Mus musculus: one gene and its partners. The protein of the gene in region 3 interacts with the protein of the main gene of each other region in a biochemical or structural test. Links are inferred from orthologs where the notes say so. Each region holds a gene or a part of one and is shown on either strand. Other genes may lie near its edges.

Region 1 (5,295 bases), on a different chromosome or scaffold from region 3:
GGAGGACCCCTAAGGGAGTTGGGGGCAGACATTTTAGGGCTAAAGGACTGGTTAAGAGCATGTTCTGCTCTTCCAGAGGACCCACTTGGTAGCTCATAGCAGTCTGTAACTCCAGTTCCAAAGACTCCCACACATTGATTTTTCTGACTTCCATAGGCACCAGGGACACACAAGGTACACAGACAACATATAGGTAAAATAATTAAACACATAAATAATTTTAAGATAATAGTTTCCAAGTACTAGTAATTAAAGAACATGAACTACTCTTGTAGCACTTATGTGGGTACTCAGAATTGTCTAACTCTACCTTCGGTTGGGGGAGGGGGGCTGGTTAAGTGCCCTTTCTGGTGTCCAAAAGCACCAGTACTTACAGGTGCTCAGAAAAGTACACATGGTTTTAAAAAAATAAATAGCAATACCAAAAGAAAAACCTAAACAAAATAATAGTTTATACAAATACAAGCATGCATATAAATAAAACCTATTGGGTATAGACCATGTAATGGAAAGGAGGAGTCTCTTCAATGCCTAGTTTAAGGAAGACAGGGTTAGGCATGATGGTTCATACCTATAATCCTAGCACTTGAGGGACTGAGGTAAGAGAAATGTGTTGAGACTTTGAAGCTAGCTCAGGTTTCAGAGAACTTGTCTCCAAAATAAAGCGATTATGGTTTTGAGACAGTCTCATATAGCCCAGGCTAGCCTTTAACTTCTGATCTTCCAACCTCCATCTACCAAGTACTGGATCAATAATGATTTGTTTTGTTTTTGAGGCAGGGTCTCTACATAACCCTGGCTGTCCTAGAACTCAAACTCAGAGATCCATCTGTCTCTGCCTCCAGGGTGCTGGGATTAAAGGCTTACATCACCATGCCCAGCAATAATGATTAGTAGTACGTTAAAAATGTTAACGGGGTAGGGTCTGAGTGTATGTATGTATATATACACACAGCTGCCTCAGAAGTCAGAGGAGGGAGCTGTCCCCTGACACTGGAGTTAGAGGTGGTTGTCAGCCATCATGTGGATGCTGAGAACTTAACAAAGTTCTCTACAAGGCAATTGCTCTAACCACAGAGCCATCTCTAGCCCCTTGTGGGCTTTTTATGTGTATATTTTTAAGACACAGTCTTGCTGTGTAGCCCAAGGTGCACTTAAACTTACAGTATTCCTGAGAACTGAAATTACAGTCTTGTGCTGCTATAAGTAGCTGCATATTTATTCACTTGCTTTTTTTTTTAATTGGTGGGTGGTTCTTGGTCAGATTTTACTAAATGGTCTAGGCTAGCCTTGAACCTCTAAAGGTTCTACCTTTAAAGTTCTAGGTTTATGGGCATTTAAATTTAATTTTCAAGAGTGCATAATTGCTCAGTGTGTTGTCTCATACTGTAGTTCTAATGGTCAATAAATTGAAGCAGGAGGGTTGAAATTTGGAGCTAATCTAGGCTATATAAAACTTTTATTTTATATTTTAAGAAAGGGTCTTGTCTAGCCCAGGCTTAATATTAATTCCTGCTGCTTCTGCCTCCAGCTACCAAGTGTTGGACCAAGCCCAGGATTTCTTGTATTTTAGACAAATACTCTACCAATAAAACTACGTTCCCGGTCCTAAGCATGTTTTCAAGTCAAACTGTGGTTCTTGTTCTAGTTGTTCCTGGGTTACTGTTGGGAGTTCTGATGAAAGTTGTATTTCATAAAGAATTTTTTATGCTATTTGTTGTGCAGAAATACTTAGTTAAGCTATTACCTAACCCTGTATACAGGCTGACAAACCAAGGGGCTTTGCCAGAGGTCTCGACCCTGAACGAATAATCGGCGCCACAGACAGCAGCGGAGAGTTAATGTTTCTCATGAAGTGGTGAGTGTGCGGCCAGTTGTTTTGTTGGGTTTGCTTTTTATTTTATTTTGGGCTTTTATTGTTGTTTGTTTTGTTTTTGGTTGTTTGGAGTTTTTTTTGTGTGTTTTTACCTTGTACTGTGTGTGTATATATGCATGATGGCAAGGGGAGTGTGTATATCAACGGTGTACGTTAGAGGACAGCTTTATGGAGTCCCAGTCTCTATCTCTGGATGTGGATTCCTGAGTTCAAACTTCAGGTGCCTGGCTTGTGTGCCATGCATCATTAACTGCCAAGCCTTCTTACTGGCTTTCATTAAACATAAAAGAATAGATAGGTTAGGGGTGTGTGTGTGTGTGTGTATTTTGGGGTAAGTAGGAATTGGCAGAGGTTAAACAGGGTCTCACTGTGTAGCCACCAGTGCCCCCCGCCCCAGTATGAGGGTTAGAGGCTAATTCTGTGAAGTTATATGAAAGGTTTCTTAGGATGGAATGTAATTAGCCAAGCTAGTGACTCATTCTTGTTTTGAGAAAAGAAGTTTATTGAAGTGTAACCTCAACCACCATCCAACCCTCTCGAGTAGCATTTAACATTGATTTGGATCTGACTATCATGTATTGAATGGATCTGAGTTAACTTACAGAATTTAAATGCTTAACCAGTTTATTTTCCCTCACAACAGGAAGGACTCGGACGAGGCCGACTTGGTGCTGGCAAAGGAGGCGAACATGAAGTGTCCTCAGATTGTCATTGCCTTCTACGAGGAGCGGCTGACTTGGCATTCTTGTCCTGAAGATGAAGCACAATAATTGTTTGCATTTATATATATATATTTATATATATATATAAAATCTGGATCTTGGGTTTTGAATTACTAGTGTGGAAAAAAATAGCATTCTAATGAAAATCAAGTTTGATATGCTGGTTTTGAAAGTATTGACAGTAGTTGGGATATTTTTGGTTTTTGTTCTGCATCAAAAGGCACTGATTCCTTTGAGCAAGTAAGAGCTTTCTGTAGTTGCTTCCTTTAACAATAGAATATTTGATACCATGTTGTATTTCCTCAGCTTTGAAGAACAGCTTTTCTTAAACGCTGGGGAGATTTTACAGTTATTACTCAAGTCAGAACTTATTTTTAACTGGGACACAGAAGGACCATTCTGGGTTTTTTTTTGTTTTTTTTTTTTTTTTTTTTTTGTTTCTATGTGGTGTATGCATAAAACACATAACTTGTTTGTTTTGTTTTGTTTTTAACTGAAGATGAAAATACAAGTTGATGAGATTCCCTCCTTGTGAACATTTTCCTGAAACCATAACCTTTCAGATTAAGCAGATTCTGTGATTTATTGGCTAGTTTAAAGGCAACAACATCAGAATTGATGTATTATCACATAAATACAGTGGTATATTTACAGAGTGTTGTACATGTCCCCTTTGGAAAATGGAATTAGACTAAGTAATAGTGTGATTTAATAACAAGACTTGGGCTAGAGGCAGATAGAGCTCTGACCTAAGAGGCCAGCTGAGAGGCAGAGGCAGGTCCAGGTCAGCCAGTCTATGTAAAGGTTCCTCTGGTGAACTTTGTAGAAAGTTAAAGTCTGTACTAAAAGGTTATGATTTATGGAATCTGTTTGATGTGGAAATAGAATCGTGGCTGGAGCTGACGTTGGCAATTTAAGACCTGCTAAGTGAGTGAACAAAATTTGCTAATATCAATTAATGACCTGCATGCTTTTTCTTTACCCTGACTCATTCCTTACTGGTAGGATCAGTCTTTTCAGTATTTGGGTTATGGTTCAATGAGCCAGAAAAGTAACTTTGTAGTATCAGAATGTCATCCAACTGTATATTTACTTTATTGTAAATAATGGTGAACAGTGGTCAATAAATAGTTTTATATTCCTTTATGTGATGACTTTTTTTTGTCATTGTCTGGTTTACTTTGTAATAAGGGCTGGAAACATCTACACAGTTTATCCTTTATTTGTTTTTGAGTCAGGGCCTCTTTGTATTGATGCTCTCCTTGAACAGTCATACTCTCTCAGCTTCCCAAGTGCTAGGAAACCTCACATCAAGTTAGGCTTAACTTGTGTGTTCTTGCTTCTACCTTATGAGGACTGGAACCACAGGCATATATCATGGCACATCATATTTACACACACATTTACTCACTGTCAGTATGGGCTGGGTAGTCCCAACAGTGACTATCCTTGCAGTAGAGGCTTCATAAAGCTGGAGCCATCCTGGCCTGGTGCTGAAGACGTTAAGAGGCCCAAGAAGCTTAGAGTGTGAGGGAGCAGCTTGGACAGGCTGACGAAGCCGGAAGCAAGGTTGGCAGGCAATACTTCATTTTCTTTGAATCTTCCTTTTTTTTTTTTTAAGTTTTTTGAGACAGGGTTTCTCTGTGTAGCCCTGGCTGTCCTGGAACTCATTTTGTAGACCAGGCTGGCCTCAAACTCAGAAATCCGCCTGCCTCTGCCTCCCAAGTGCTGGGATTAAAGGCGTGCGCCACCACACCCAGCTGGTTGAATCTTCTTAATGAAGATTTTGCTTTTAATTACAGGGGCTGTGAATGCCAGTACCTTATGGCTGGGGGACAGCTCTGGTATCTGGAGTTACAGGCAGTTGTGAGCCACTAGAGTGGATGCTTAGGACTGAACTCAGGCTGTCTGGAGAAACAAAGAGTTTCTCACTGCTGATCCATCTCTCCAGCCCACCTTGGACCTGTTTATATCAGGGTCACTTTTTTTTTTAAAGATTTATTATAGCCTGGAGGTGGTGGCGCACGCCTTTATTCCCAGCACTTGCAAGGCAGAGGCAGGTGAATTTCTTAGTTCGAGGCCAGCCTGGTCTACAAAGTGAGTTCCAGGACAGCCAGAGCTATACAGAGAAACCCTGTCTCGAAAAAAAAAAAAGCCGGGCATGGTGGCACATGCCTTTAATCCCAGTACCCGGGAGGCAGAGGCTGGCGGATTTCTGAGTTCAAGGTTAGCCTGATCTACAAAGTGAGTTCCAGGACAGCCAGGGCTATACAGAGAAACCCTGTCTACAAAAACCAAAAATGATTGATTTTTTTATTATTATATCTCAGGACACTGTAGCTGTCTTCTGATGCACCAGAAGAGGGCGTCAGATCTCATTACAGATGGTTGGGAGCCACCATGTGGTTGCTGGGATTTGAACTCAGGATCTTCAGAAGAGCAATCAGTGCCCTTAATCATTGAGCCATCTCTCCAGCCCCCCCCCTTTTTTTTTAAGATTTAAGGGGAGTGGGTTTTAGTGACCATTTTTTTTTTCTATTTCTGACATCTCAGCTTTTACTTGTCTCAAATATATCACACTCAATCTCAGCCAGAAAAGGCTAAGAGAAGACATTTAATTTTTCTGTGACTAAAAAGAAAAAGGCTCGCTAGGAGTGGTGGCGCACGCCTTTAATCCCAGCACTTGGGAGGCAGAGG
Region 2 (4,221 bases), on a different chromosome or scaffold from region 3:
AAATTGTTGCATGGACTTAAACTTACTACAGAATCTTTAAGGGGGCTGGCTATGTGTTAGATACCCCAGTAGGATTCAGTACATTTCCCATCATCTTGATGTGGATTCTTTTTGTTGTTGTTGGGTTTTGTTTTGTTTTGTTTTTCAAGACAGGGTTTCTCTATATAGCCTTGGCTGTCCTGGAACTCACTTTGTAGATCAGGCTGGCATCAAACTCAGAAATCCAAATGCCTCTGCCTCACAAGTGCTGGGATTCAAGACGTGCGCCACCACGCCCGGCTTTGATGTGGATTCTTAAAAGAGAAGCTTATCAGCTTATTCTGAGGTTCTTTGTGACTCTAAACCCTTGTTCATGGTCAGGTTGTGGAGGTTTGTGGTGGTGCCTTGTCACGTTCTATCATGTATCTGTTTAACTGCCCCATGCTGCTGCCTCTGTCTGGGCTAGGCCCAATGTGCTGAAGATAAATGGATAGAATTTACTCATAGTTAACTTCCTATGTGTATATCATTTTCAGATTTTAATCTTGTCTAGCTTCTGCAATTCTTTGGTTTGGTTTGGTTAGGGTTTTTTTTTGTTGTTGGTTTTGTTTTGTTTTTGTTTTTTTTTGAGACAGCGTTTCTCTGTGTAGCCCTGGCTATCCTGGAATTCACTCTGTAGACCAGGCTGGCCTCAAACGCAGAAATCCGCCTGCCTCTGCCTCCCAAGTGCTGGGATTAAAGGTGTGCACCTCCACGCCAGGTTAGCTTCTGAAATTCTAATTAAGCTTTTTTTGGCCCTTTTCAAAGAAGTAGTTGAGTCAGATGACCTACCTTTTGAAGTTTCTTAGAGGACTTTTGTTTGTTTTTGTTCTTTTTTTCAGTTTTTGAGACCGGGTTTCTCTGTATAACTCTGGCTGTTCTGGAATTCACTTTGTAGACCAGCTGGCCTTGAACTCACAGAGACCTGCCCTTAGAGGGGATTTTTAACAGAGGAATATCTTTGAGGGGATCGTGTGACAACACTTGCCCAGTAAATGCTTGCATCCTCTTTCCTAGTTTGTTTCTGGAATTTAGACTTTAAAAGCCCCATTCCCTGGGTGGTCCAAAACGGGACCACAACGGCTGATCTCAAAGTCTCTTTGTGCTTTGTTCTACAGGAAAAACTCTGATGAGGCTGACCTGGTCCCTGCCAAGGAAGCCAATGTCAAGTGCCCACAGGTTGTCATATCCTTCTATGAGGAAAGGCTAACGTGGCATTCCTACCCCTCAGAGGATGATGACAAAAAAGACGACAAGAATTAGCCCTGTTGAGTACCAGCCCCTGTCACCTCTGACTGTGGGTTTCAAGGGGGAGGGAAGGAGTTATACTTGTCTTGACACCATAGAGGTGGCTTGAGAAGATGTCCTTTGAAGAGCCAGCATAGTTTGTGTGTCCTGCAGCTGCCCAAGTGCTTTAAATTGTTCAAGCTGTGTAGTTTGCACACCCATCCCAGTGGAGGGGAAAGGGTAAGTGTTTCAAGGCAACCTGTTCTGCGCTTTGCTAAGGAAGCAGTTGGCCTTCCATGAAGGACAAAACCTGCAGAACTGGGGTGTGGGAAAGCAAAGATACTGTCGATCTTCAAAGAGCATCTCCACAACCCACAGCCTTCTTCCCGATAGTGTTAACTGCATTTTTACAGCCTAGCATGTGTGTAGTTTTTGGCTATTACTGGTATATTAATTGGGGGTGGGAGGGTTGGGGCAGGGAGGAAGGGAGATGGGTAGAATCATTTTGGTTAAAATTTGGGGCCTGATTGGGGAAATGATGAAATAGTAGAACAGCTAACTAATAAATTGGTTCTGTGTCCAGAATATTTTGCCTTTTCAAAAAAAATGTCATTGGCACCATAAGTAAGGACTATGAGAGACTGTTAAAAAAAAAAAAAAAAAAAAAAAAAAGTCTGTTAATCCTAAAACCTACAGCCAAGGTGCTCCCAGCCTGAGCTCAAAGTGGCCCACAAAGGACAAAGCCAGTTCTGAGTTACCAAAGCTGCCATTTGATGATGGAAACTGACTGGAGAGGGAAAGGTTACAGGAGAGTATATAGAGGCAGACTACTCTGCCATAGAGGTGCTAATTCTTGAAATTGGAGAAAAAAAAAACTTTTTCCAATTACAAAGTTATATCAGTTTGTCCATCTAAGCCATTGGCTCAAGTATTGCAGGATGGCCTATGGGAGATGGAAGAGAAGGGCCTTTGCTCTTAGGGTAGAAACTCTTAGAGCCCCTCTCTCTCTTTCTTTTTTTTTTTTCTTTCTTTCTTTTCTATTTTTGTTTTTTTTTTAATTTTTTTTTTTTATTTTCAGCTTTGAACCCTGAAACTGCTTGTGGCAGGTTCAGTTACTGACAGCACAAATTCCATTGAGTCAATTCAAGGATTGAATGACTTCACAAGCCCTGGTCTCAGGAGATTAACTTTCATATTGGGGTAGTGGTTCACTTGAGAATACAAAATCTTCAGATTAACTGATGTCCAAAATACTGTCTTGAATCATGAGATCCATCAATTTTTAGTATTGTCTAGACCTACAAATAGAACTACATTGTAAAATCTTTTTCAGCATGTGTTAAGATGTATGTGAAAATTTCTGTTTAAGTTTAAAGTTCATACCATACTGTCAGTTTTTGTCTTAATAAAATTATAGATTTCTAATTCTTGATTTCTGTCTTTTTTTTTCCCCAACCAGGTCTTCTTCCCGTGTTGCCCAGTCTGGCCTAGAACTTTGAATCCTATGCCTCCACTGTTCAGTGCTGGAATTGCATGGTGTGTGTACCACTGCAGCAGGCATCTTCATCTTATCAGCAGCCCTCTTGCCTCAGCTCAGCTTCTCAAAAGTGCCTGCCACAGCTTCATGACTATAGATGGACACTGTAGGCTCAATCTTGTGCCCTAGTCTTTTAAATGGCCTCAGTTTATTAATATAGTAATATTTGAGCATTTATAATTGCTGAACATATAGTTAGGAACTGGCACATCATTCTATATTTCGTATTGCTGGGAAATTATTTACTGATAACACTTCCAAATATAGTTATTTGAAAACATGTTTTATGAAGTAGCTTAGTCAGTTGGATGGCATCAGCATATGTTGTCACCAAAAAGTTTGAGGAATTGGCATTATGTATTAAACACTCAGTTGGATGTTATCTGTCTTTTGGTGGGGGGGAGTTGAGACAGGGCTTCTCTGTATAGCCCTGGCTGTCTTGGAACTCACTTTGTAGACCAGGCTGGTCTCTAACTCAGAGATATACCTACCTCTGCCTCTAGACTGCTGGGACCATATAATTCAGGAGCCCACATAACATATTCCTTGATGCTATTTATTTTATTATCTTACTCTATGGTGTTTTGCCCATGGGTGTGTCTGTGTACCACTCAGTGTCTGTGCTCAGTGTCTGTGGAGGACAGAAGAGAGCATAGGATACCTTGGAACTGGAGTTAAAAGCTGTTCTAACCCAAATAAATATGGCTACCTAGGAATCAAACTAGGATCCTCTGCAAGAACAGCCAATATTCTTAACCACTGAGTCAACTCTGAAGCCCTTGTTGCTTTTGGTTTACATTAGTATGTACACAGGTGTTAAAGTCAGAGGACAACTTTGTGGAGTTGTGTTCTAGGAGCCACACTCAGATTGATTGCCGTGTTTCACATGCTAAGCCATCTAACCCAGGCTAGCCTGAATCCTACTGTGTAGCTTAGAATGACCTTAAACTCAAGGAAACTCTCTTGTCTTACTCTCCCCAAGTCTAAGGTTACAGACATGTGTCACAAGAGCAGTTTGATTCTAGTCTGTTTTTTTTGTTGTTGTTGTCGTGTTACAAAACAGTCTCCCTGTGTACCCCTGGCTGGCCTGGAACTGCCTGTGTAAACCAGGCTGGTCAGATAACTTGATCCGCCAGGTGGTGGTGGCTCGTGCCTTTAATTCCAGCACTTGGGAGGCAGAGGCAGGCGGATTTCTGAGTCCAAGGCCAGCCTGGTCTACAGAGTGAGTTCCAGGACAGCCAGGGCTACACAGAGAAACCCTGTCTCAAAAACAAAAACAAACAAAAAAAATAAAGGTAACTTGATCCTCCTGTCTGCCTCTGAGGTGCTAAGATTCACCATGCTTTTTTTCTTTTAAGATGTATTTATTTATATGAGTACACTGTAGCTGTCTTCAGACACAGCAGGAGAGAGCATCAGATCCTGTAACAGATGGTTGT
Region 3 (5,660 bases):
TTAAAGTTATGGGTCTGTTCCCTCAGCCTGGGGCCCAGGTGGGAGTATTGTGGCTGGCTGTACCTCAAAAATGCTATCTGGGGGACTGGCAAGATGGCTTAGTGGTTAAGAGCACTGACTGCCCTTCTGAAGGTCCTGAGTTCAAATCCCAGCAACCACATGGTGGCTCATGACCATGTGTAATGGGATCTGATGCCTTCTTCTGGTTCGTCTGAAGACAGCTACAGTGTACTTACATATAAAAGTAAGTAAAGCTTTGGGCCAGAGCTAGTGGGGCTGACTGAAGTGAGTAGGGTTGACCAGAGGGAGCAGAGGTCCTAAGAGTTCGATTCCCAACAACCACATGAAGGCTCACAACCATCTGTACAGTGTATTCACATACATTAAAAAACAAACAAACAAAAAAAAAACAAACAAACAAAGCTATCCGAAGGGCTGGAGGGATGGCTCAGGGTTAAGAGCACTGACTGCTCTTCCAGAGGTCCTGAGTTCAAATCCCAGCAACTACATGGTGGCTCACGACCATGTGTAATGAGATCTGATGCCCTCTTCTGGTGTGTCTGAAGACAGCGACAGGGAACTCCCATAAATCTTAAAAAAAAAAAAAAAAAGAAATGAGTTTTTAAAAAAATGCTACCCGAAAGCCGGGCGTGGTGGTGCACGCCTTTAATCCCAGCACTTGGGAGGCAGAGATAGGCGGATTTCTGAGTTCGAGGCCAGCCTGGTCTACAGAGTGAGTTCCAGGACAGCCAGGACTATACAGAGAAACCCTGTCTCGAAAAACCAAAAAAAAAAAAAAAAAAAAAATTAAAAAGAGAACAGTGGCCAGCAAGATGGCTCAGTGGGCAGGGGTGCTTGCTGCGCAAACCCTAAAACTTGAGTCTGACTCCTAGATGGCATGAAAAGGTGGAAGAGACCAGGCTCCACAGATATGTCCTCTACTGCGTCCATCCCCTCAACCTCCCCCATTACACATACACACTTATAATCAATATTTTTCTTTCAAGACAGGATTTCCCTGTGTAGCCTTGGCTGCCCTGGAACTCACTATATAGACTTGGCTGTCTAAGGAATTGTGTATACTCTAACTAGGCTGGCCTTGAACTCAGAGATCTGCCTGCCTCAGTCTCCCAAGAACTGGGATTAGAGGCGTGAGCCAGCACCACCCAGCAACAGATAAAATTTTAAAAGTTGTGCCCATATAGGAGTCTTTAAACTACTAATACAGGCATTAGCTAATCATCTATAAGGTATCTACAAGGAAGACAGATACGTGTAAGGCATATGCAAATGTTGATTCTTAGCTGACCCAGACCTTAAGAGATCCACCTGGCTCTCATAATTTTATATGAGGAGCCCGAGCAAACACGAACTTCTGTACCAGAGAAGAACAGCCACACCATGGTGAGGTAATCACTTTCCCAGAAAAAGAAAACAAGCATTGTCGGAGAGGTAGTGCAGTGGTTAAGAGCCGGTTGCTGCTCTTGTGGAAGACCCAGGTCCAATTGCCCAGCACTGACAAGATGCTCACAACCCCTTCAAACTCAAGGTCTACTGCCCCCTTGACTTGAAGGGCACCAGACACACAAGGTGGTACACAGACATATGTGCAGGTAAAACACCCAGAAGCTTAAAAGTTTTTAAAAAAAGAAAGAGTAAAGAAAAAAAAAAAGAAAGAAAAAAATTAAATGTAGAAGCTGGGTGGGGTGGATCATAGCAAGTTCAGTCTACATGAGACCATCTCAAAAAGAGGAAATAAAACAAGGGCCAGAGATATGGCTCAGCAGTTAAGAGCACTGACTGCTCTTCCAGAGGTCTTGAGTTCAAATCCCAGCAACCACATGGTGTGGCTCACAACCATCTGTAATGGGATCTGATTCCCTCTTCTGGTGTGTCTGAAGACAGTTACAGTATATTCATATACATAAAATAAATAAATAAATCTTTTTTAAAAAAAAGATTATAAATAAAAGGCATGTGTGTACACCTTCAGCCCCAGGATGTAGGAGACAGAAAAAGGTAGATCTCTGTGAGTTAAAGGCCAGCCTGGTCTACACAGCCAGCCAGCCAGGGCTACACAGTGAGACCCTGTTACACACACACACACACACAAAACAACAAAAAACAAAAACTACTCTCTCAAAACAAAATAAAGCTCAAAACAAACAACAAAATAAACGAAACAAGACCCAGAGGAAGGCTACACAAGCCATACTTAAGCTGAATCAAGAGCCCTTAAAACCTTGACATAATTTTGATTTCCAGGTTCTTGTCACACACACACACACACACACACACACACACGCCTCCGCCCACATTCTGTCATTATGTGGCCTTCCCAGGGAAGAGTTCCCAGTAAAAACTTTATCTGGTTTGAGACTGGTCTCAAAGTAGGGATTTGAAAAACAAACAAACAAACAAACAAACAAACGAACAAACCAACCTCCCTAAGCATTTGTTCAGAGGCAAAAAACAAAACAAAAAAAACACAAACTTGGGAAGGCTGATCCTGCCCAGTCATTTGTGTAATTAGGACAATAACTATATAATTAATTCTACATCTGTCAGTCTCCTCTGCTGACCACCCCTCCCCAAAGAACACAAACTCCAGGAAGCCGACAATTACTCTGCTCACAGAGGCCCAGCCCAACAGCTGACACTTGGTAGCCTATTGGTAAATTCGAAAAAAAAAATCTGAATACAAGAGGTCTAAGGCTAAATCCCGGAAGAAGGAAAAAAAAAAAAAAAAAAACCCAAAAGAACAAACCACCAACAAAAACAAAACAAAACAAAAAATCCGACCCAGAGACTCCCCAAGTCTCTCCACCCCAACTTCCACACTCTCACCTGTCCGTTGCTAGGTTTGGACATGGTTTTCCGGGCTCGGTGCACTTTGGGCTGCCCCTCCTGGGCGGCAGTTGTTGCCGGAGAGGGTTCAGGCCCAGCAGTTGCAGCTCCCTGGGCCCCGGGCATGCTCAACAGCCTCATGGCCAAACTCTGGACCGAGGGGGGCGACTTTCCTGCCCCTGTCATTGACATTTTGGCCCGACTGGGACAGGCACCCCCCTTGCTGGGGGAAGAGGGGAACGACTTTGTGGCATGGCCTAGAAAAGAGGCAGGCAGAAAGGGGGTGCAGGGTGAGCAGGCATGCAGAAAGCCCCTCTGCGCCCCGTCTCCCTCACTCCCCAGTCTCTCACCCAGCACGATGCGACCCCCATCTCCCTCCAGGCTCTCGGGTTCGTCCCCGATGAGTGATGCGGCCCCGACAGGGGTGTCAGCCCCCTCATCGCCGACGGTGACAGTGACAGAGGCCGGAGAGGAGGGGCCGGCAGGCTCCAAGGAGTCGGGGTTGGCCTTGGGAAGGGTCTCCTCACTCTGAGGGGTGTCCCCCAAAGAGCTATGAACTGTCGGGAGGGGAAAAGAAAAAGTTCAGGGCTGAAAGCTCCCGGGATCCCGTGTTGGGGGTGGGGAGGGTGGAGGTCCGGTCGGGCCTGCTCCTGCTGCACTCACCTCTCTCGGCGGCTCCTCGGGGCTCCTTCTCCAGCAGCAGCGCCCCCATCTCAGCGGGGGCCTCCCCCTGGGAGGGGAGACAAGGAACCGGGGGGCCGGTCAGCCCGGCAGGCAGCTGGGGGGCCCAAGACGCCTGGGCCCTGGGCAGCGAGAGCAGGCTTCGGGGCCTACCTCGCCCTCGGTGGGCGCCCCCCCGACCGCGGCCGCGGCCGCCCGTGGGGGCCGCACGCCCCCGCCCCCGGGCCCGCATCAGCCCCCTCCCTCTCGGCAGACCCCGCATCTCTGGGGCCGGGAGCAGAGGAGGGGGAGGGGGCGGGGCCTCCGCGCCCCGGCCCCGCCCCCTCCTCCCGGCTGCACGCGCCGCTCCCCCTTTGTCCCCCAGGCCGCGGGGACCCCGGCCACCAACCCCTGCAACGCCCGCTGCGCCCCAGCCCGGCGGACGGCCCCTCGCGCCCCTCGCGCGGGCTCCCGGGGTCGCGGTGCCCACCGCCCACGCAGGGGCAGCGGGCGGCGGCACGTGCGACTCGGCGCCCACTCCCCCCACCTCCCACCCCCTGGTCCCCTCATCCGCCCCCGGTGTTGGCCCCCTGGTTTGCTGTAAGTTCGGCTCGGGCCCCCCGGCCCCGTTGCACCCCCGGAGCATTGCACGAGCGCGCGCTTCCCCCGGGCGCGCGCGCGGGCATGCACCCGCCTCTCCCCCTCCCCTTCCGCACCTCGGCGGCCGCCGCCGCAGCAGCTCCCGCCGCCGCCGCCATCGCCGCTTGCGCGGGGGGCCGAGCCGGCGCGCGGCCGCCCCGGGTCACGTGGACAAGGAGGGAGGGCGAGAAGACGCCTTAAAGGAGCCGCTGCGGGCCTCTTGGCCATTTTTGCCCCCCAGAATGGCCCTGGAGGTCCAGAACTGGGGCCTGTAGGGGAGAGGGCGTTCGCTCCTAGCCTGGGCTCCGCCGGGAGCAAGGGTGAGGCTCGACTGGGCTGTGGCTTCCCTGTCCCCGCCCGGTTTTGGGAACACGTGTAGCCTGAGCCTTTGCAGCTGCCGCGTGTGCCTTTCCCGTTCTGAGCCGCCAGATAGAAGGCTGGGACTATATCAGTTTTGAACTTTAGTGCACAAGAAGGGGCGACAGAGACTCACGGAAGACACCTTTACTTCTGGGTCAGTGTGCTTTTGGAAATCTGGGGGAAGTGTCTTCGGTTGCACTAGATATGTCAACTGAATGCAGCGGAGACCTCAATCTATTGACAGTAACTATTTCTGCCCAAATACTTCTCCATGGAGGGGGGGGGTCATGGTCCAGCAGACAGCTTAAGTATGATGGTAGACACAGCAAGTATACAACCCTGAACACTATCGAGGGCACCATCCCCCTCCAGGCATTAAGTCCTAGCCAAAGCTTGAAAATGCCTGTATGGTTGCTCACACAATATTGGACAGACAGGTACTTATGTTACTGGGCCCAAGGCCAATTCGGCATCTTATGGGAACTGTAGTCCTCTTTGGATTAAAAACTTTTCAGAGCTTTCTGGGAATTGTAGTCTTCTAGGTAATCAACTATAAGTTTAGCTGGTATTTCAACTTTCCTTAAAACTTGAGCAAAAATATGCAACAGATGCCCTTTTGCCATCTCTGTGGGTTCACTGGTCACCTGTGGCCCATGGCTTGCACTGCCACCAAACCCCGCATGGTTTATGCCAGCACCAGGGTTGCCAATCACTGTGTGATAAGGTTTCTGCCTAAGTGTTTAGGGCGTGTTCCGAGTCTCTGCTTGAGGCTCCTTTTGGCATGGGACTACAATTGTTAGCGCTGGGAGAATCTATGGTGGGTAGTCACACACATGCAATTGCCAGAATATAAAGAAAAAATGTTTTTGTTTGTTTTTTTTGTTTATTTTTATGGAAAACAAAAACTAAAACCCCAAACTCCAGAAAAAATCCTAAAAAATAGTTTTCTTTAAAAATACTGTATGTCTCTACTCCTCTCCCTCCCCCCAACAGCCCTCCTTGTGTCCTTTTTTTCTAAGTGCCCTGCCCCCCCACCCCTCCGCTACTCACTGTTCTCGCTACTGTAGCCTAATGTCTCATTACCTACCCAGGTTGCCCACCGTGTTCTCTTACCTGGCACATATCATTTCATTTCCGGTGAGCCTTGTATCTAC

The links. The genes of interacting proteins can lie anywhere in the genome.
Region 1: the proteins of Ehmt2 (region 3) and Cbx3 are reported together in a solved structure, tested with the Homo sapiens proteins (2 studies listed by BioGRID, with this or other methods). The link is inferred for Mus musculus from reciprocal best matches to the Homo sapiens genes EHMT2 and CBX3.
Region 2: the proteins of Ehmt2 (region 3) and Cbx1 form a complex in vitro, tested with the Homo sapiens proteins (2 studies listed by BioGRID). The link is inferred for Mus musculus from reciprocal best matches to the Homo sapiens genes EHMT2 and CBX1.

Annotation. Positions count from the first base shown.
Region 1 is NC_000072.6:51,479,961-51,485,255, forward strand, and holds the end of Cbx3 (chromobox protein homolog 3), read left to right. Parts: intron 1-1,763; coding exon 1,764-1,858; coding exon of another isoform or gene 1,859-1,862; intron 1,863-2,519; coding exon 2,520-2,646; 3' UTR 2,647-3,744; downstream 3,745-5,295.
Region 2 is NC_000077.6:96,805,480-96,809,700, forward strand, and holds the end of Cbx1 (chromobox protein homolog 1), read left to right. Parts: intron 1-1,136; coding exon 1,137-1,281; 3' UTR 1,282-2,323; coding exon of another isoform or gene 2,324-2,336; 3' UTR 2,337-2,670; downstream 2,671-4,221. UniProt on the Homo sapiens protein: Component of heterochromatin. Recognizes and binds histone H3 tails methylated at 'Lys-9', leading to epigenetic repression. Interaction with lamin B receptor (LBR) can contribute to the association of the heterochromatin with the inner nuclear membrane.
Region 3 is NC_000083.6:34,897,104-34,902,763, reverse strand, and holds the start of Ehmt2 (histone-lysine N-methyltransferase EHMT2), read right to left. Parts: upstream 3,795-5,660; 5' UTR 3,791-3,794; coding exon 3,511-3,790; intron 3,405-3,510; coding exon 3,198-3,404; intron 3,105-3,197; coding exon 2,848-3,104; intron 1-2,847. UniProt on the Homo sapiens protein: Histone methyltransferase that specifically mono- and dimethylates 'Lys-9' of histone H3 (H3K9me1 and H3K9me2, respectively) in euchromatin.